2 linked regions of the Astyanax mexicanus genome follow. The protein of the gene in region 1 interacts with the protein of each later gene in a pairwise test. Links are inferred from orthologs where the notes say so. Each region holds a gene or a part of one and is shown on either strand. Other genes may lie near its edges.

What was found.
Region 2: the proteins of trim2a (region 1) and cib3 interact in binary tests that used the Homo sapiens proteins (3 or more experiments, as listed by UniProt). The two-hybrid records come from large-scale screens. The link is inferred for Astyanax mexicanus from reciprocal best matches to the Homo sapiens genes TRIM2 and CIB3.

What each region holds. Positions count from the first base shown.
Region 1 is NC_064432.1:21,841,490-21,852,743, reverse strand, and holds the start of trim2a (tripartite motif-containing protein 2), read left to right. Parts: upstream 1-6,614; 5' UTR 6,615-6,678; intron 6,679-11,254. UniProt on the Homo sapiens protein: UBE2D1-dependent E3 ubiquitin-protein ligase that mediates the ubiquitination of NEFL and of phosphorylated BCL2L11. Plays a neuroprotective function. May play a role in neuronal rapid ischemic tolerance.
Region 2 is NC_064411.1:47,997,324-48,009,234, reverse strand, and holds the start of cib3 (calcium and integrin-binding family member 3), read right to left. Parts: upstream 4,541-11,911; 5' UTR 1,788-4,540; coding exon 1,737-1,787; intron 1,522-1,736; coding exon 1,487-1,521; intron 1-1,486. Other genes in the region: sugp1 (SURP and G-patch domain-containing protein 1), read left to right, coding at 7,762-7,780, 9,140-9,311, 9,412-9,515, 10,188-10,412, 10,905-11,028, 11,669-11,772. UniProt on the Homo sapiens protein: Acts a an auxiliary subunit of the sensory mechanoelectrical transduction (MET) channel in hair cells. Plays a role in regulating hair cell MET channel localization and function.

The sequences.
Region 1 (11,254 bases):
GTTAAAATGAGAGGCAGGGATATATAAGCGTGAATTAAACACTTATTCCAGTTTAAACTGAGTTACACAAGGTAACGTTTGCTAAACTGTGGTAATTTGTTGCTCAATGTTACCGGCTTGTAACCCTTTTGTTGCTTAACTTGGTTAGTAGCAGTTAATCTCTCCTAACACAGACTTAATTCATACCCCTCTGCAAGTATTTTATTAATGTTTCGTTCAATAAATATACACTGTAGAGAACCCTATAATGCATTGTTTTCTGATGACTTATGCAACATTTTTATTTCTTTACTTTATACATTAATTTTAGCCAGTAACATTAGCTCTGACTTTAAAAATATGACCATCAACATGCCCACTCATTATGTTCTACTTCTCCCACAAGCAAAGCAGTCTAGAACCGGGTCTGAGCTCTACTGCAGGAGACTCTACCGGTCAGTGCGACAGCTGGATTAACTTTCTCCGCTTGTGCCTTCAGGATTCAGGATTATCTCTCAGCTCAATCCCACCTGTAATCTCTTTACTTGAGGCCCATGCTTCCTGAGCTCTGACCACAGAACCGCGTCCACGTCTGAGCGGAATGTAACCTCTGGATAAAAAAACTGGCTTCAATTTAACCTGAAATTTCTGGTTTGGGATACGTCTATCTTCAGTGCTTCAGTGGAGCAGAACGATGACCACGACCAGACGACCAGATGTCCGCACTGGATGCTGCTTCTAAAGGGAACATCATGACCGGTCACTGTCTTAAGGTAAACTGAAAGATGTTGTTGTTGTTGTTGGTATTGCTGCTATTATGAATACACTTAATATAAAAATACAGTAGAATACAGTACACTGTAAACCCACAATTTGTTTAAATTGAAATTAATTAAGTCTGTTTTTTATATGAAATTTGATATTTCCAAACATTACTCAACTATTTAGGGTTAGGTGAGCATTTGTGTGTATACATATACAGTATGTTGCCATTGACCACAATCTATTTAAATAGTATTTATAGCCCCCATTTTCTGACACTCACCATCAGTGTGTAGTAATTTCCCTCAGGCTACTTTAGGTAAACTTATATATTATATCATATGTTATGATTAACTGTCTGGCCTCTGTGTTGTAGGCTGTAAGAGCAAGCATCATTTTCTTAACTGATAACTCTGTGTTGGCTGTGTGCTCACTATACTGTTCACTATATAGCATTCCATGTATCCATCTACTTTTTTAATGAGTACTTCAGATCTATATTTTACTTAAATGAAATCAAAAATACCATTATAGACTATACTATCATTTAGTATAATATAGTATTTTAAAAATGATTATGTGTACACTGTCTGATGCCTGACACACTCTCTTAATAGAGATCTGAGAAGATTTTGGCTCTCAGATATCATTAAAATGATGGAGGGATACATACGCAATATGCAGGGAACTGTGCAGCAAAATAGTGCCTAAAAACATTCCCTGTATGTGAGTACATTTGCCACTATTTGACCATTATCATCATTCCATATAAAACTCAGCAGATTCACTGGTGGGTTGAATAGTTAATAAAATATACATATATATATATATATATGTATATTTATGTTATAGTGCTTCCATTTATGATTTCATTCACTTTGAATGAGTTCATCTCAAACCCCCACTCTGAATAATAATCATAATATATAGCAATATGAGTGTTTTTACCTGAAAAAAGCACCACATACAAAATAATCATACATACAGTAAAAAGTAACAATAATTTCTCATTTTTAACTAAGTATGTTTTATCCTGTGAGCCAAGCTGAAGAACAGTTAGTGTAGTTTCAGATTTCTCCTGGATGCTCCTCAGCCAGCATGTGTACATTATGTTCAGTTCCGTCAGCAGCTCACCTGATTTACCACATTTACCAATTTTCCAAACCAGGTGTTGATTAATATGATGAGAACTAGAAATAACTCTATTAAACCCAGATGAGGAGGAGAGATTAGAAGATGTTTAAAGGAAAACAGGGCTGTAAAATCTCTGTTTTTTGTAAAATTGCTGTTAGTATTTACTGTAATGCTATAAGTGTTTTACTGAGCTTAGACACTTATTCCTTACTGAAATTTCCACATGTGCCTAAAACATTTGCACAATACTGTATACCTCTACCATCAATAACTGAACACTATCAATAACACAACAAGCAAGACTAGAAATAACACTGACTGTCCATTGAAGGCAGCGGGCTGGATTAGCGTGTTTGGTGATTAGAGTTAAGGAGCTAACGGAAGATTTGTAGACTGGGGGAAAGTTCCTCTCCTCAGAGAAGATCCAGCTGCTATATGTTGTTTACATATAGTAAAATCAAAAAGCAGTACGACACAGCAGTGCTGCTGGAGTTTTTAAACACCTCTGTGTCTCTGCTGGACTCACCAACAGCGTCCTGTGAGCACTGATGAAGGACAAACACAAACTGTGCAGCAACAGACTCAGAGCTTATATCTCTGACTTTACATCTACAAGATGTAGCAGCTGTATCTGATCCACTTATACCAGCACAACACACACCGACCCCCCCACATTTACTACATCCTCTGTGGGGTCTTCAGTGTCGTGTAGATCTCCTGTAATAACAGTAACTATGTTTTTCAGATCTATTAGTGATGAAACCCTGAAAAGAAAAGTCTGAGAGGAGTCTCTTCAATCAATTCTCACCACCAGAACCTACAGATCTTATGATGGGGTAAGATCAACATGTCTACACACCAACTAGCCTGTTAATTATGTTACTGGTTATAAAGAACAGCCTCATTAAATAGATGTGTATCTGTATTTAACCCATTACAACAGTCTAAATCATGTTTCTGTTATAAATGTGTCTCAGACCATCTCCTGAAGTGGTTTGAGCAATTGGATTTGTACAAGGTAACGCTGGTAAGTAGGTTCTACATAGCACTGAAGGTAGAACCTGAGTTTTTAACTCAATCTTCAAACAGGATAAGAAAAATAATACCTAAAATTAACACCTAAATAAATATGAATAAAATAGAATAAATTGTATGAAGTGTACTTTGTCCTTTGGGAGTGTAATTCAATACAAGCATAAGCATTCAAAATAATGCAATAATAACCAAGGACACGTCTACATTTCTTTATTTTAACTTTGAACCTTTTAACTATTTGTATGTGCTGCACCTGCACTCTATTATACCATTTTATACTATATTACACTATATCATATAATCGGTATAAACTAATGTATAATCTACTGTCTTTACCATATACTATACACTTTTGCATATTTAAATTGAACTTACCCTTGGTAATTTTGTATTTTTGTTTTGTTGCTTGCTTGTAACACCTACATTGCATATATCCTATTGGACTTTTACATGTGTACTCTAATTCATGTTTCTTAGTCTATCTTGTGCTTATATACAGTTTAGATGTTTTATCCATCTATTAATACATTCAATCTAAATGTTGATACCTGCACCAAGAAATAATCCTTGTGCCTTTTGTACTAGGCGAATAAAGATTCTAATTCTGATTCTGATTCTAATAACCAAGTAAATAATATGTTTTCCAAAATAAAAAGAATCTGTAAGTACTGTAATGTCATCTACCTCAGTGATTAGATTAAACAGCACTAGTGGTGATCAGTATAATCAGTATGTGATGCATTCTCTATGAACCTCTGATGGCGGACTGGGCTTCCTGCTACAGGATGAATGAGCTGCTTGGACAAAGTGGCATCCAGATCCAGACATTATGGATCAATAAACATAAGCAGCTGGAGCAGCACTTACCAGCATTAGCCAGCCTGCACTATCCTGCACTCAGAACCAGTACAGGATGAATGATGGTAGTTGGAGATGGGTGGGGTTGTTGTGTGCTGCTGATGTCCGGTCCACACTGACCGGGCTTTGTTCCTTTAACAATCTATTTTTTTATTTTATTATTTTTAACAAAATAATTCGTTTTTACAGTATATGTTATTATAACATCAAGATAAGTCTCCGTTCACTGAAAGAGGTGGGGTAGAAGTGGGTTTGACATTTCACCTGGGGGTGAAACAATAATTTTTAGAGCCAAACCCACATGGGACACGGTGCCAGCAATTGACCAAATAAATTTAATTTTAATATTATATAATATCTATAATATCTATAATATAAATATCTAATATACTATAGATATGCATGAATATGTAAAGAAATATTTTGGGGTTGTTTTCATTTACTTAATAAAATAGTGTTTTAATTTTTTTTAAATAAAAAATGTATCCAGTTCCACTGCATCATTAAAATGATCAGTGTTGCTGTGGGGGATTTTGTCATTGATATATTAATACCATTTTTTTTCCAAAATATTTCATTTGTGCCATAGAGGGTGTAACAATCACAATAAATGGCCTTGCCATTAATATCACAATATTTCAAAAATATCTCAATATAGTATTGTATATATAGTTCTTGACAATATATAACCCTAGTTAGGCTGTTGTGATCATGTATCGTGAATATGAAATATTCTGAAGTGTAGTGTGCTGATTCTCTGTTAGGACATGATCCTTTATTTCATACAGATACAGTATATAGGGTGGATTTAAATTGTGTTTATAAATTGTATTTGTGATTGCAGTAATTGTGAGAATGTGTAATTTTACCAAGCATGTGTTGGCTGAAATCTTTTTTTCATTTCTCTGTAAATAATATCTCATCGGTTACAAGAAAAAACAAACCCTGTAGTAGAGATAGAAAATCCTATGGTTCTGTATCGGTATCAGATGATTTAAAGCTGAAATGTAATTAATTAAGCTGACCCTTACAGTGGTCAGTTCATAAAGGACATTTAACCCTCACTAACTGGATACCCCTCTCAGGAGCGTATATTACAGCTTGTACAGTAAATAGCTACAGCACAGCAAAACAACTAGCCAAACAAATGATGCTGACCATACAGAACATCAAATTGGTCAGTCCACATTTAACCACCACCAAAAGTACAGCAGCAGCAGTGATAAATCTAAATCTTACTGTTTAATAATCAGCACTTTTGTGACATATTGCCAAGTTTAATGTTGCATCTAGCCCCACCCTCAAGCTGTGTTGGTGATTGGCTGATCAAGCTGAAAAATGATAAGAGATCAGTCCCAAAAACACTGATCTGTCCCTCTTTATCCTGTAGTGTGGGCCAAGCAAGAGGGAAGGCCTTGTCTCTTTTACTTTTATTCAGTGTAAATGGAACAATACCTCAACCAAAAGAAAAAGAGCTGAATAAATAAAGACAGAATGGCAAAATAACCCTCAGTGCCGTCATGCGTGCCGTAAATGCTTCATTTCCAGCCCAGCAAAGCCTCTCAAAGCCTGGAAATGCGACTCTTTCATGCGATTATCCTCAGTGATAATGAAGGTGGGTGCGGGTGAGGAGGGGTACAGGCTGCACCCGCTGCTAGTTTTCAGTCGGTATCAAAGGAAATCCAAATTTAAAAGGAATGCAAATAACTTTCACTGCTCCTCCGTCCCCCATCACCCCTTTAAGATCCCCCCCCACTCCCCCGTCCCAGGGTTTTCATGGGGCTGACTCATAATGGACTGTTGGCATGGCAACCGTCTCCTCAATGTTAGAGGGAAGGCCTCTAAAGGGTTGCCCTGGTAACCATGCAGTTCTGCCCTGTCACCCCATCCTCTTAGCCCAACCAATTCGCCCAGGGTCCCGAGAGCCCGATCAGGTCTTAGTACAGAGATCTGATATATAAGTTCATAAGTAAACTTAGAATTAACTACAGTATCCAGGTTGTGTTGACTTGTGGTGTCAATCGATTTTAAAATATTTTTTTTGATGAACCACATAAATATTATGTCATTAATTACACATTTTTACTTATTAAGACTAAAGCTTTTATTATTGGATATTTAAATGTGAATAAAATGACAGAAGTGTATAATACTTATAAAAGTCAATTGCTTTAAAATATGAATTGTATTAGTCAAAATAATATTCTGTGATGAATCATAATTGTAAAAAATTATGACAAAACAAATGTACATAATGGTACTTCCCTGTATTTTTAATAATTTTGTTATGTGATATATCTGGCAAACAGACTTTTATCATAAAATTAGTTTTAAAGCTTTTTATATGAGATTATTTTAATAAAGCGCTTTAGCTAAACATAGTATACATACATGTAATTTAGTGTATTTTTGAAATCAATTATTCCTTTTTTTAAATTATTAAATAAATTACAATTTATCTGAACTGAAATACTCTTTTTAGGCAGATATTTAGGCTACGTCTTATATTATAAGCTGATATCATATATTATCGCGTCCGTTGGGTGTTTGTTTAGCTCATAATTTACATAATTCATCTAAATAATTCATGAATTTTACCGCAAGTATAAGCCTGTAATCAACGGGTTTGGTTTGAAATCATTTTTTTCCCACCTATTTTCCGCCAAAATAAGCTTTCCTGCGCTCTGATTGGTTATATAGCAAACAGCTTGAGACTACGGGCTGTTAGCCAATCAGAGCGCACGTGGGAGGACAGAATTAGCCAATCCGAGCGCAGGAAGGGCGTGGAAAACATGAGTAAGCCTGTCCGCGCGTGCTGTGGGGCAAACCAAGTGGTGAGGCGGGGGGGGCAGCAGAGCTGTTAATGCCCCAGCTGATCACACAGCACGCGCCTGCCGTCTCAGCACAACCGTAAGTGATGAATTTAGACTTTATCGTCTTATTTTTACTTAAATCGGTCTTAAATTCTGGTCTTTCTGCTGGTCTTATAGGTAAATATGCAGTTATTTCAAGGCTGCGTCCCAAACCACACACTGCACGATAACACTGCACTCTGTAGGCTGAGCAGCTAGTGTACTATAGATGAGTGTGTACTAAAGCTGGGGTACTGTTCTGATGTACTGTTTAGTGGTAGTGTGCGGTTTGGTACTATAGACTGTGAGACTTTAATGTAATGCTCTGTATGAAGTCAGTATAGTACAGTATAGTGCACTAAAATCATAATGATATGATTATGGACTGTGTCAAGGTTAAGTCACTGTAATTGACAAATCCACAATCAATCATTTCATATACAGCTCTGGAAAAAAAATAAGAGAGCACTTAATGAGGATGTTTTTCTTTAATTTTTCCAAATTAAAAACCTCTGGAATATAATCAAGAGGAAGATGGATGATCACAAGCCATCAAACTAAACTGAACTGCTTGAATTTTTGCACCAGAAATGGCATAAAGTTATCCAAAAGCAGCGTGTAAGACTGGTGGAGGAGAACATGCCAAGATGCATAGACAGTTTTGATAGTGATTTATATAGCGATGTAACTATTGCATATGCACATAAAGTGATGTTAAAACGTTATATTGTGCCATAAATATCGTGTCGAATCAGATATTAATGGCTTTTAATACGTCTTACTTAATACTGCATCTTCTAATTTCTGATTGAATCACAACACACCAGCAGGTATAGAGGATGTCTGTGCTGCTACCATCAATCAGCGTTTTGTGTGATTAATTTTTATGCTAGTAACAGGGTTAAAGGGTTGTGACAGGGAACACATGAGCAAGGCAGAGGTCATATTTGTTGAATGTTATATTATTTCCGCTCCAAAAACTTGTGTTATTTCCAAACACCATTTATTGGCTGTGTTAATGTGTTAAACTATCAATTATGAGCTTTTCTAGAATGAAGCATTTCACATTGAATTGTTAACAGTCTTAAATGTTTAATCCTGCAAAGAAATGGCATCCTATGATCCTACTATGATGATGGAGCAGAGTAGACATGGCTGTATGCCTGTATATTTACAGTGTTCTGAACCTCTGTTAGGCCTGTGATGTATTTATAGCACTGACTGGCCTGGATTCTCCCTTCTCACACTCCTCATTCACACTGGAACCTGTGTGGAATATAACAGCACACCTGAATCAGTGACAAGACAAGATAAGACAAGACAACCATACACTCATCATAAACTGCCGAAATTTAGACATACCATTGTCTGCCAAGTATAAATGCATGCACAATTTAGATACTAGTCACATGACATGACCAGGTGTAAACAGGGTTGCATGATATTACTTTTTTAATTTGCATCCAACCTCTTATTACGGATTCAAAAGCCAGATTTAAAAAATACAATTCTGAAATTTGTGGCCAGTTTAGTCTCTGTGCTAAATACTCATGAGCTCATTAACATGTAATTTTTGATTGGCTGTTACTGAAGTCACATGGCAGTGTGAGTGTAGTGTAATCTAATAAATCAGACCCGGAGTATAAGTATCAGAAGTGACAGCCCAGATGAAAAAGAGGGTTTAGTGAGACGGCCCTGTAGACGGTAATCGCTGACTCACTCTGGGGAATTGTCCTGATCAGACGATGATTACTCGTGTCGCTGATTTGATGAATTAGGCGGCGTCTCCAGACGAAATTTCTAGTCCTTAGGGAACACCGTGACCTATAGTAGTGCAGCGCTAGATCAGCTGACCCAACATGAGTGGCTGTTCCCTTATAATGTTCCCATATAATGAACATTAAAGTAGGGGGGCACCAAAATATACATGTTTGGCCCAAAATAACTTGCCACTTTTTACCACTAAATAAATTAAACAGTCTAAAAATATATTTTTTCTTGTTTTTCAAAGGAAAAGCACTTACTTAACACTTAGCGTTAATATCCTAACAGAAAAAAGCAAAGCACATTATATTTTAATAGTGAATTTATTTCAGCAGTGCTGTTCTTGTCACACATTTAACTAGTCTAATCATTAAATGTACCTCAGTAGTGCTACTCTAATCATAGGTTTACTTCTGCAGTGCTATTTTACTCATAAATGTACATCAGCAGTTCTATTCTAATTATAAGTGTAATTCAGTAGTGCTATTCTAATCATAAACCATAACAGTGCTATTCCAAACATAAATGTACCTCAGCAGTGCTATTCTAATCATAAATGTACCTCAGCAGGGCTGTTTTGAAGATGCTAAGGCTAAGGTCGCTCAGCTAACATTACTATGTCTGTCCTCTACAGCTCATATCTTTCAGTTAGAAAACAGTCAATTTGTAAAGTAGGAATAAACTAAATACAGAGTGTGATAAGTGATGCTGAACATTCCATTTCATTTAATGAAAATAGAGCATAGAAATTAACTGGCCATTTCTCCTCTCTTCCTGTTGTCTCTGCTACTGCTAAAAGATTCCTACATTATAGTGTAGAATAGTGGATGCATGCATGAAAGAAAATACAAAGTAATTAACCTGAAAATTATCATTTCTGTGTAGTCTAATGCCTTATGAATATGAAGAATAATTAAACAGTTGAAATCTTAAGTCGCTTTTGAGAGTTTTAATATTCAAAATGCTCAGTATTCAGATAATAATAATAATTCTGAATTATCTCCAGACTGTCTCTTTAAGACTGGGTTGGTGGTCCCAGTGCATTACCCATTCCGAGTCTCCATGCTTCACTGCTCCGTTTAACTTGTCAGCAGGTTGTCGTGTTGATGGGCGGCGCTGAATGTGGTAATTGATTTTGTTTGGGTAGGTTAGGGGGGGATCCTGATGGGTTTTAGGGTTGAGAGTATGTAAATGAAAATGGGACCATTATAGATGATGGGTGTGACCTGAATGGAGTAGACTCATTAAAGTCTCAGATTCTCGTCTGTACTGGTTTGGTGTTTCAGGCTCTGATGAGCTTTAGTTAAAACTCCAGCGCTGTTAAAGGGTAGCATTCAGTTGATTAGCAAAAAGTCGTTCTTAAACTGGAAACATACAGAAAAACTCTGTGCACTCTGTGATATAAACCCACTGACATCTTCTGAATTCTGTTAGGAAATGCTGTCATTTGTATGAATTGGTTTGAGATAAGGAATAATAATTGGATTTGGGCATAAGGGACGTGGGTGGATTTTAATAGACTGCTCACAAAAATTGAACGCTTAAATCACACATTGGCTTATTCAGACTCTGAATAAACTTCCTCTCAACTTTGGAAAGAACCAGGGCAATTCTGGAGTTCTCTGCTGTGGTTGCTTGGTTGATGCCCTTCCACGATCCTGTCCTGCTATTCTGATGTAACAGCCTTTGTCCTGGTATCTCCTCCATGCTCTTGAGACCTGAAAGGCTGCGGGTGCTGCCTGATGCTACCAGTAGTGACAAGGACAACAGCAAAATGCAAAGCTAGAGAAGAATCAGTCAGGAAGGATAAGAAGAGAGTATTTGGGTGTGGACACTACCTGCTAAACCCTTCACTTGTTGGTGGTTGTCTTACTGTTGCTTCTCTTGTGCACCTGTTGTCAGTTTAATTCGCATCACTTGTGCATCCTAACTGGGCAGAACAATATCTCTAATAGTCGAAGCAATAGTCAAATAATGCTGGCATTCTGTCTATTCATTGCTTTGATGAAAGTTCGCTTTTAGGGCTAATTGCCTGGAATTTTGACTATTGAGTGCTAATTGGCTGGGAATGAATTGTGTCTACTAAAGCTGTTCCTACACTACACGACTTTAAAAAGACTCAAAAAAGACTTTTAACAGACTGAAGTCTGACACCCTCTCGCATCTAAAGACTCATCACAGACTTTTTACTAACAGACTGAGATTTAGCAAAGACTGGGGATCACTAACTGCAAGACTGCAACTAGATTCTTTCTGAGATTATTTCCCATCATGCTTCTGGTGGAATTTAGATATTAATTAAAAAATAATGTGCATATCAATACTGTGATTTATCAGAGACTTGTTTTTTTGCCACACTGTTAGTTCTTGATATTTTTAATAATATATATTATTTAATAATATATAATAATATATATTTTTAATACATAATATAACGACTTTAAAATGCTACCTGTGTTTAAAATCCTGTACATATTAAAGTAAGAACCATATAAGGCATTTTAACTGCAAAATGTGTTCTTTTTTAAATCGCTTGTAAACAGTCACATAAAATATTCTTGTCTTGCGGCTTCCAGGAGCTCTCCTATTGGTTGTTGACATTGTTCACATCACTATTTGCGTGAGCCAAGTCTCAAGACTTATGATAATATTAAACGGTTGATTTTACCAGAGCGCCAGGACGCGAAAAAGACTGACTAAAACTTTCAATCCTAACCTCCTTACACTGAACGATCCAGATGACGCGAGCGCAACTCGACTGCAGCTCCACGGGTTCTGACTGGTTGGCCTTCTGGGTCCTGATGTAGCTGATTGATATTAAAAGTGCTGTTCATTTATTGTCACTAATGTTGATTTTGGTTGTTGATCTT
Region 2 (11,911 bases), on another chromosome or scaffold:
ACTTAATTTAAAAATTTTCTTCACACTAAAAAACAGCTTTTGTACTCAAAGCTACACTTTACATAATTGTACCCTCAAAGGTATAATATTGACCTTAACAGGATCAATAACAGCAGAAAGTACAAATTTGTACCATTTAACCAGCCAAAAGTTACATCCGGTATTCTGTATCACTGTACTAATAAACAATACATATTTTATTTATACATTTTTAATGTAAAAGCCAGACAATTTTAGATCATCATGTTCTTGACACATATTCAGTTGATGATAAGGTTTATAATCTTTATAATCTTTACTGGTTCAAAAAACACAAGTACAAAAAAATACTTCCACTGAAAGGTACTCTGTTGTACCTCAATATAAGATACAGCCCCAGCTTTATAATCTTTTAAATACAAATCTGTACTTATTTTTCTTTGTGTGTTCACAACCTGTAGATAATGTTAAAGAAAAGGTGATTTGAAGAGAAAGTGGATTTAAAAGTGGGGTCCCCCTTGTCTTAAAGGCAACTGCACCAATGGCAATACTTATTTAATATGTGTATAGTGTAATTACACTGTCCCATGACTTTTGGCCTGTCCCATAGAAACTAAAGAACACTGCCCTGATCTGTTAGATATGTGTGCCAGAATCGTTTGTCAGATAGCATGGACAATTCTAACCAGACACTGCAGGTCACGATCATTACCACCCCCTGCTTTGTCCACTGTGGGTGGTATTGCCAAAAACTTTTAAGGAGCCTAAAGCCCATTTAACTAAATCTAAAATCTTGCAAACATAAAATAATATAGTCTGATTACAGAGCAGACATGTATAAAGTACTAGATACCCAGACTTAAAAGAGTAAAAGTACAAGTGCTCTATCAAAATAGTGAATTGAGTAGAAGATAAAGTGTTCCTTAAGCTCCACACTTAAGTGGAGGTATTAAAGTATTCAACTTTAATAGTTGTAAAATGTAGTACTGAAGTACTGAAAGTAAAAGTACAGTACTGTGTTATTAGTGTAGTTATTACAGAAAGTTCTCAGAGTAAAATGCAGGGTTGATGGTTTGTGATCATCCATCTTCCTCTTTATTATATTGCAGAGGTTTTCCATTTGCTAAAATCAAAGAAACTCATCATTTTTAAATGGCTTCTTATTTTTTCCAGAGTTGTATATATTTCACAGCTCTAGAGTGGAGCAACTCTCTAAGTGCCTGCTTGTCAAGAGTCTAAAAAAGGAAGGCCTCCCCTCCCCATGTGATACTGGGAGGTGTGACCTGCAGATAAGAATAAACCTCCAACAAATCGTACAAAATTTAGGCATTTACTCATTTACTGATATAAGACTCAACTACTAAAAATGAGATGCTGAACTGAAAATGTGAGTAGGAAAAACTTTTAACTAAACTCAGTTGAGTAAACACAAATAATTATTTCAAATTGTCCTGTCTTACATTGTTCAGTGTAGGGCAGCTTAAAGTTTAAAGAGGAAAAGACTTACCTTAAAATCTCTTTTCTGGTAAAGTATGTGCAGTCCTGTGAATTTAAGAGGATGAACGAAATAATTCACTAACAATAATATAACTTTTACAGTCCACAATTCATACACACTGATACACACTACGTTAAATTACAAAAGGACATGAAGAGTTTGCACATTTAAACTGCATTATTATAGATGTTCTTTTTGCACCTCTCTAACACAAGCCATAAATAAATTAATTAATTCTATGCAGCTTCTCCTGACTGACCTGATATGCGTCCAGTTGCTGGGCAGTGAAAATGGTCTGCTTGTTCCCCATTCCCGCTCAGCCAGAGTGAGCCCCAGAGCCCCATGTGAGTGAGTGTCAGTGTGTACCAGAAGGGAGTGTGGGCAGATATTTCAGATATGAAATGTACGAGACAATGGAGAGGGGATCGGGTGTCCGCCCTGCCGGGCCCTTCACCTCACCATTATAATGGAGGCATTTCATCGTTTTCATTGCGCTGAATGGCAGCCGTTTTTGGACCTGAATGAGGCTGTCGGTCAGCTGGAGTGCCGATGGCAGCGAGCCCCCGCTGAGAACGGGGGGTGACGCCTCACCCGGGGTTCAGATTACACCTGCTTTACCTGGGCTGCAGCACAGAGGGGGTTCAGCAAGATGAACCAGAATTAAATGTGCTATTTGTTTGATATTTAAGATTAGCTTTGTGTTTACTTGTAATTAAATTATAAGTGGGAATTTGTCTTTAATTCTACTTCTGTATATTATCTATGTCTGTACAGTTTTAAAAATTGCCCTTGCAAAAAAAAAAAAGTTTTGCAGGCACATATGACCATTTAGGTCATTTAGGGCAGTGTTGGCTTAGCAGTTTAAATGCTGGATAATCAATACCAAGCTTTTGGGTTTGATACCCAGGTTTAATATAATATCCATATTGTCTGCTGTTCCAGGGGCATTGTACCATGTCTGCCCTTGCTCTCTGACCCCAAATGGGATAAGTATCACTTTTTTTGATAGAACACTTCTACTCAGATTTTTACTCAAGTCTGTGTCTCTAGCACTATACATTTCTGTTTTAGACCAGTTGTAGCAGACCTGGGGCCTCATGAACTAAGAGTTGTGTGGAATTAATAATAAAATGAAATGAAAATGAAAAGTTCTATATGCACTAAAAAAAACAGATGTATGAAACCGTATTTAAGTAGATTTTGACCCACACTATTGTAATACATCACAATCAAATTCAAATTAAGCGCACATGCAGGAACACAATACTCTGCCTTGTCTCCTTCCTCCATTATGAAGATTATAATATGCTAATTAGTCAAATATGCCTTGCAATACTCTTATTAGGAAAATGGCGAAGAAAAGGAACTTTATCGATCACGGATCTGAGGTTTTGCTGTCAGAGGTACGCACACTTTTATATATATATATGTATGCGCATTAGGTTCTCGTTCTCACGCTTTACTAAGTCATGGCCATGCATTAGGATCTCCTTCCCACTCTTTAATAAGTCGTGGCCACGCATTAGGATCTTGTTACTATGGCTTAGTTATCTCGTTCCTGCGCATTAGGTTCTCGTTCCCATTCTTAAATAAGTAGGGGCCACTCATTAGGATCTTGTTCCCATGCCTTAATTATCTCGTTCCCACATATTAGGTTCTTGTTCCCACGCTTAATTAAGTCGTATCCATGCATTAGGATCTCATGTTGTCACATAATTCCGGCTCACACAATAGTGAAGTAAATAGTGATGTGGTTTACAAACAATTTGAAAAAGAACACATTTTGCATTTAATATGCCCTATATGGTTCTTTAAAATAATTATATTTAAAGTTATTTTATTTTGCACTACTTTGTCTTATTGTGCAGTGTTATTTTTGATACAAACAATTTTAATAAATAAACATTTTGCAAGAATGATGTTCTTTATTGCATTAATTCTATCTAAAACAAAGGCAAATGTATAACTGAGATTCTGAAACTGTGATTCTTTGCTATACAAGGTTATAACAAAGCTTAGTTGAACACGAAATGTATTCTATTTAAAAATATCAAGAACTAACAGTGTGGCAGAAAAATAAACTGTTGATGGGCAGAAAAGTTGTGAGTCTCTGATAAATCACAGTATTGATAAGCACATTATTTGTATGATAACTTAATATGTATTGCATGTAAACTCCACCAGAAGCATGATGGGAAAATGATCTCAGAAAGAATCTAGTTGCAGTCTTGCAGTTAGTGATCCCCAGTCTTTGCAAAATCTTAGCCTGTTAGTAAAAAGTCTGTGACTTGTCTTTAGATGTGAGAGGGTGTCAGACTTTAGTCTGTTAAAAGTCTTTTCAAAGTCGTGTAGTGTATGTGTGTATAGTGTATTATCAGGAAAGTCATGAATTACATTTATTCAAATTACTGTAATTGAGTAGATTTTATATTTTATTTTTTAATTTGTAATTTTTTAAGTAGTTTATAAAATAGGTAATTTTTACTCTTTTTACTCAAGTACATTTTGACACAAGTAATTTACTTCACTACATTGGAAAACTCCCCGTTACTGAGTAAATAATTAAATGTTGGGGTTTTGTTGAGTTTTGTTCTCCATGGCAGCGCAGCTGAACGTTTCCCAGCAGTGTTTATTACGGTTAGCGAGAGAGACGCTGTGTAAATCAGCTGTGCTCGGGGGAAACCGGTGTTCTGTAGAGTTATGCTACCCATCGATATGTGTTTCTTTAGGTTTTTTTTTTTTTTGTATGATTTTATGTTTTTCATGATAATTCCTTAAGTTTTTTATTGGAAACATTAAACAATCTTCTTAAATGTAAAAAACAAAAACATGTAAATAGCAGTTAAAGCATGGCAATGGCAAGTTAAAAAAATGATAATGAACTGTAAAACTATAGCAATACAGTTTATAGTCATGTATATGACCATAACTTTTAAACGGTAAAGAAAAAAATGGATCATAGAAACCTATGCCACTTGTTTTTAAAAATGTTTTATGGGGTGGTCTGAACAAATACTGCCTGAAAGGTCCAAATTATTATTTGGAATAATAATTCATTAAATATATTTAATTTATGTTTTGTACTTTTTTTACATCAAATAATTAAAAGTAACTATGTAACTTTTACTCAAAGTAAATTGTAAATTGAGTACTTTTTTACTTTTTCCTCGAGTAGATTTTTTAGATGGGTACTTTTACTTGAGTAGAATTTTAGCAAAGTAATGGTACTTTTACTTAATTACAATTTTTCAATACTTTTTCCACCTCTGTGTATTATAAGCTTGGTCTGAAAGAGACCTAAAAAAAAGTCCAACAAAAAGCAGCACTTCTGAAAATGTCTAATTTAAGAGTGTTTTGCTCTACTTATCTGTGGGGAACTCCTTCACCATCTCCAGCTCCATTCAGTAAAATCTGCTCCACAGTTTCTCCTCCTGCGCTGCGGGCGGCGGTGTGAACTCCTCTACAGTACAGCGGGTTTGTTTTCGAGACGAGGCGAAACAGTTACTGAGTACCAACTGGAGAGGGGGTTGGATCTCTGCCTGCCGGGAGACGGGCGGCAGTGGTGGGTCTTCGTGACGTCACCCGCCAGCCACTTTTTCATCGACCCGGCAGTGTCAGGCACGTACCCGGCAGTACTAAAAACTGTCAGGTAGCTTCCTGACAGTACGCCGGCACTACTAAAAACTGTCAGGGAGCTTCCTGACAGTACGCCGGCACTACTAAAAACTGTCAGGGGGCTAGCTGACAGTAAGACCGGAGTCAAGCTATCCGCGCTTCGGAAATTCTCAGTCAAGTCATCCGCGCTTTAAGTTTAGATGCGCGTATACGTGCGATTTTACGGTAAACAGCACGCTTAAAAAACACAGAGAACGGGAGACCGACACGTTTCAGTCTATTATATTAATTCAGACATACATTAAGCCCAGAAACGAGAAAAAACGGATTAAAATAACTCACCTCACTGTATATTTTGTGCAGTACATTATCTATTTGATATAATATCCCATCAGTGTTTAAGAGAGAGAGAGAGAGAGAGAGTTTTATATTAATATTACTTTTTTCAATCCATGCTTCAAATTAAATTTCTCATGAGTTTCCCAAAAAACCAAAACAGATCCAGTACCTTGTAAAAGAGTCCATCCTAGACTATCACTTCTGCAAGTGTGGGCAATTTTCACTGTATGGTTTATTTTATATTAATAAAAAAATTGTATGCGTGTTTAAAATAAAATTTTTCATGATTTTCCCATAATGCCAAAACTGGTCCACTACCATTTGAAAGAGTACAACATAGGCTGTCACCTCTGCAAGTTTGGGCAAATTTCACTGTATTTTTTATTTTATATTATTATTATTATTATTATTATTATTATTATTATTATTATTATTATTATTATTAATGTTTTTTTATTCTTGTTTAAAATTAAATTTCTCATGATTTTCCCATAATGCCAAAATAGATCCACTACCATGACTCCTGCATATTTGGGCAAATTTCACTGTTTTGTTTATTTTATATACATTTTTTTTTTTTTATGCTTAAAATGACATTTCTCATGATTTTCCCATAATGCCAAAACAGTTCCATTACCATTTGAACGAGTCTGTCCTAGGCTTTGACTCCTGCAAGTTTGGGCAAATTTCACTGTATTGTTTATTTTATATTAATTTATTTATTTTTTATGCTTAAAATTTAATTTCTCATGATTTTCCCATAATACCAAAACAGTTCCACTGTTAGCATTTGATGCCAAAACATAGGCTATCACCTCTGCAAGTTTCGGCAAATTTCACTGTATTGTTTATTTTATATTATTATTATTATTATTATTATTATTATTATTATTTTATTCATGTTTAAAATTAAATTTCTCATGATCTCATGATCTCTACAATTTGAAAGAGTCTGTCCTAGGCTATGACTCCTGCAAGTTTGGGAAAAATTCACTGTATTGTTTATTTTATATTATTTATTTATTTTTATTATTTATGCTTAAAATTAAATTTCTCATGATTTTTCCATAATGCCAAAACAGGTCCACTCCCATATGAAAGAGTCCATCCTAGGCTAGCTCCTTGACAGTTTTTAAAACTGCCGGCGTACTGTCAGCAGGCTCCCTGACAGTTTTTAAAACTGCCGGCATACTGTCAGCAAGCTCCCTGACAGTTTTTAATAGTGCCGGCGTACTGTGAGCAAGCCCCCTGACAGTTTTTAGTAGTGCCGGCATACTGTCAGGAAGCTCCCTGACAGTTTTTAATAGTGCCGGCGTACTGTCAGCAAGCTCCCTGGCAGTTTTTAAAACTGCCGGCGTACTGTCAGGAAGCTCCCTGACAGTTTTTAGTAGTGCCGGCGTACTGTCAGGAAGCTCCCTGACAGTTTTTAAAACTGCCGGCGTACTGTCAGGAAGCTCCCTGACAGTTTTTAGTAGTGCCGGCGTACTGTCACGAAGCTACCTGACAGTTTTTAAAACTGCCGGCATACTGTCAGCAAGCTCCCTGACAGTTTTTAATAGTGCCGGCGTACTGTGAGCAAGCCCCCTGACAGTTTTTAGTAGTGCCGGCATACTGTCAGGAAGCTCCCTGACAGTTTTTAATAGTGCCGGCGTACTGTCAGCAAGCTCCCTGGCAGTTTTTAAAACTGCCGGCGTACTGTCAGGAAGCTCCCTGACAGTTTTTAGTAGTGCCGGCGTACTGTCAGGAAGCTCCCTGACAGTTTTTAAAACTGCCGGCGTACTGTCAGGAAGCTCCCTGACAGTTTTTAGTAGTGCCGGCGTACTGTCACGAAGCTACCTGACAGTTTTTAAAACTGCCGGCATACTGTCAGCAAGCTCCCTGACAGTTTTTAATAGTGCCGGCGTACTGTGAGCAAGCCCCCTGACAGTTTTTAGTAGTGCCGGCATACTGTCAGGAAGCTCCCTGACAGTTTTTAATAGTGCCGGCGTACTGTCAGCAAGCTCCCTGGCAGTTTTTAATACTGCCGGCGTACTGTCAGGAAGCTCTCTGACAGTTTTTAGTAGTGCCGGCGTACTGTCAGGAAGCTCCCTGACAGTTTTTAAAACTGCCGGCGTACTGTCAGTTAGCCCCCTGACAGTTTTTAGTAGTGCCGGCGTACTGTCAGGAAGCTCCCTGACAGTTTTTAGTACTGCCGGGTACGTGCCTGGCACTGCCGGGTCGATGAAAAAGTGGCTGGCGGGTGACGTCACGCAGACCCACCACTGCCGCCCGTCTCCCGGCAGGCAAAGATCCAACCCCAACTGACCAACTGAGTAAACAAGGGGCTGAAAATGGAGGCGAACGATGGAGGTAAATTAACTATATTAAAACACATTAAAACAATAATGAGTGTAGCCGCGGGGATCCGCTGATTATGGTGTTTGAGCTGCCTGCGTATCGCTAGCTAGTAATAAGGCTAGCATGGTGTTAGCTAGGGCTTTAGCTTAGCTTAGCATATTTTAGCCTAGTTTAGCTAGATTATACACACCCTTAGCTAGCTTAGCTTTATTCTTTATCCTTAATATAAGTTACTTATTTGACTAGCAGTTACTAATACTAACATTCCTTTGTGTAATACGTAAAATTAGTAACTTAATTCGTTGATTTATTGTATTTTAATCTTCAACTATGGCTAACTAACCAAGTTAGCTTAGTCAGCGGCTGTAGGTTAACTAGCGTTAGTTTAGATTAGGTTAGCTAATGTCAGCTCTAGTTATACAGCTCTGAAAAAAAACAAGAGAGCACTTAATTTTCTGAATCAGTTTCTCTGATTTTGCTATTTATAGATATATGTTTGAATTAAATGAACATGTCATTTAGAGCATTTATTTGTAGAAAATGCAATCGAGAAATGGCTGAAATAACAAAACAATATGCAGAGCTTTCAGACCTCAAACAATGCAAAGAAAACAAGTTCATATTCATAAAGTTTTAAGAGTACAGAAACCAATATTTGGTGGAATAACCCTGGTTTTTATTCAGAGTTTTCATTCTTCTTGTGATGTTCTCCTCCACCAGTCTTTCACACTGATTGTGGATAACTTTATGTCTTTACTCCTGATTAAAAAAATCAAGCAGTTCAGCTCGGTTTGATGGTTTGTGATCATCCATCCTCCTCTTGATTATATTCTGGAGGTTTTCAATTAGGTAAAATCAAAGAAACTCATAATTTTTTAAGTGGTCTCTTTATTTTTTTTGCAGAGCTGCTTTTTTGCTGCCCCTGTGTATTAAAATGTAAAAAATAGCACTTTATAAATAGTAGAGGTTCATTCCCAGTGTTATTTATTATTGTCTGTAGAAATATATGAGACATAAGCTACAGTACTAGTCAAAAGTTTAAATACACAACTTCTCATTCAATTATGTTATTTATCCCTTTATTAGATATATATATATATATATATATATATATATATATATATATATATATATATATATATATATATATATATATATTACTTATGTCTCAATTCATAATTAAGAATACTCAATACATTATTGAGGGAACACATTTTTTAATTGTAGGTCCCTGGGCTTTACCTAAAAGCGCTAAGCAGAAAAGTGCCTAATGTATATGCCATACTTTTAGACCTTTGATCATATGTTGTGTATTATAACAGATCCTAAGCCAGTTTCAGCCTGATGTTAACTGTACATTTTGTGTTGCAGGTCGAGGAGGCTGGAAGAATAATAACAATAATAAATTTGCTCAGAAGAGCAAGCTCAACGTTATTATGAGGCAGGAGGAGTTGATCGCTCAGAAGAAGCGTGAAATCGAGGCAAAAATGGCAGAGCAAGCTAAACGGAACATATCAGCTCCTAGCAAGCCAATACCACCAAGGTAACTTATCTACAAATTCTCATTATTTCACTTTGGATTGTTGAGAGCACAAAGCACTCTTTGGGTATTAATTTCATATTGTATTTATACTGTTTTTCAGCAGCCCAACTTTACAGGGATCAACCTCGAACAAGTTTGTGAATGACGGAAGCTTCCTGCAGCAGTTCCTGAAGATGCAAAAGGAGAAATCTAGCACTGATTCAGGTTCAAAACCCTTTTCAGACATGTTTTAACCTCCCCAATACAGAGGGGTGTCCATTGTAGAGTGGTTATTGTTTACAGAAGTGTGTGTTGGTTTAGTCCCTGTTTACATGTATTTAGTGTCATACGCTTTTGTTCATACATTACAAGGCAATAACAAAATGTCTATATTGTTATGAACCTCATACTAGCAAATATTGTAAATGAAACAAAAAACCCTAAAAGAACTAAATAAATAAATTACTCCTTTGAAATAAACAGTAATCCATATCTTACAAATATGTAGAAAATTGACATTTAAATTCTTACAGCAATAATGACTATTACATCAAAGCATGGTTATAAAATATGTTTTAGTTATTGTTGAATCTAAGCTTAATATTTTTTTACATACCTTATGCAACTTCTGTCTTCTCCATTGTGAAATATTTGGTCAATGGGTTTTATTTCCAAAAACAGTGCTATTAGTTGCAATTACAGGTCCATCAATAACATCTTATATTTATCATAATTATGATATCTAGGTAGATACCTAATAAAAACAAGGCCCAAAAAACATGTGTAAATTAGCTTGTGTGAAGCACTGACAGATTAGATTGTATTTATGTATTGTGAAGGTTGGTCACTCGTAAGATATCTTTTAACAGTTCAATATATTTTATGGTATTCCCCCAGGATCCAGCACAGACTCCAAAAGCTCCACCCTCTCCTCTCAGAGTCAGAAGAAGAGCATTCTAGTTGGGAAACGACCCGGCTTGGGTGTTAGCAGCATGCTAAACCAGTTTAAGAGCTATTCCCAGTCCAAGAAGACCCAGTTACAGATCCCCAGGCCGAGTGTCTTCAGCTCCCCAGATGAGGAGGATGCAGAGGAAGAGGATGAACATTACCTGGAGGTTAAAGGTAGACACTCACAGCTTGTTTGAATCATAATTACCTTCATGTAATTATGAATGTGATAAATGTAGACATTTAAAAAGGGAGGGATACAAAAATATAATGTGATGTAAGGATAGAATGATAGAATTCATACATGTTCTCCTTGGTGAACATACATGTTATCCACATACCAAGCAAAACGTAACTTTACTAAAATTAGCTAAGGGTCGTTAATAAGGATTAAAAATATACTTTGATTAAAGCAAGACCTCAAAAAACTGAGAGTTATTTAACTACTTGAATCCATCTGAAATGTACCCTGGGCTAATAGTGTTAGCATCTTGTTAAAGACTGTTCTTTTGGGATAAAGTGCCCAGGGTTTGATTGAAGCTGCCGAAACATGCTGCTTTTGTGGATACTGCATGTTTCACAGCCCTCCACTCCCCGTGTCCTGTCTTGTTAGTACGCAGTTGTGAGTGTGTGAGTTATGGCGGCGTACTCATAGCCTGCTTAAAGTTTCCCCCCCAGAGGATGAAGACTTGGTCCTCATCATCGACCGGATGGCTACTTTCGTCGCTGAAGGGGGGCCGGAGCTTGAGAAGAAAGCTATTGAAGATTACAGGGACAATCCAGTCTTCTTGTGAGTATCTGAATTCATAATAGCATTTCTGTGTCGTGCACAGCACAGTTTCTGTTCTAACATAGTTTATTAGATTGCTTTTGGGAATGATTTTTGCCATCTATCCCTAGCACACAGACAAGTCAGAGCATATCAAGCAAGATTGCGTATTATTTGACTTGCTTCTTAATTGAATTTGTATATTCCACCTTAAAAGATATAGCTGCTATGATTTGGCACAGTATTTAAGGTGGAACGGAAATATTAAGCAAATATCTGCCTTATGCATAGCTTGCACAGGCCACTGTGCTACTTACCTCCAACATGCTCTGCAGTCTGTATAGACTGTGCTGTCCCTGTTTTTCATCCACAACCTTACCCAAAGCAATTTTTTACCTGTCTTTTGTTTTGAATCAGCACAAATAGTGACACAAACAACAATAGCAGCAGCAGGTTGGAGTGGTGTAGTGTAGAATCTTTAGTAGTTTAGAGTGCAATGGATTTTTTTTAACCTGGAGTGTGAGATACCTAGTCTGTTTACAACATTCTATGAGTTTAGTCATTTAGTATACCCAGGGCTTTAAAAAAGGGTTTTAATTAATTCCTTGTGCCATTTTTACTAGGCCAAATAAACAAAATATATGTCTCCCTGCTCAAACAGATTCCTGATTGATAAGGACAGCAAGGAGCATCTGTACTTCCGCAAGAAAGTAGCTGAGCTGAGACTGCAGATTCGCGCAAAAGACTCGTCTACACAGTCTGATGGTAAGATTTCTTATCTTTGTACTTATATTTAGTCGTTCATCAGTGCAGAAGGGGGGTTGCGTTTTTTAGGTGCCTTATTTTTAATTAAAAAAAAGTCTATAAATGGATACAACTCTCAGTCTCAGTTAAATATAATAAT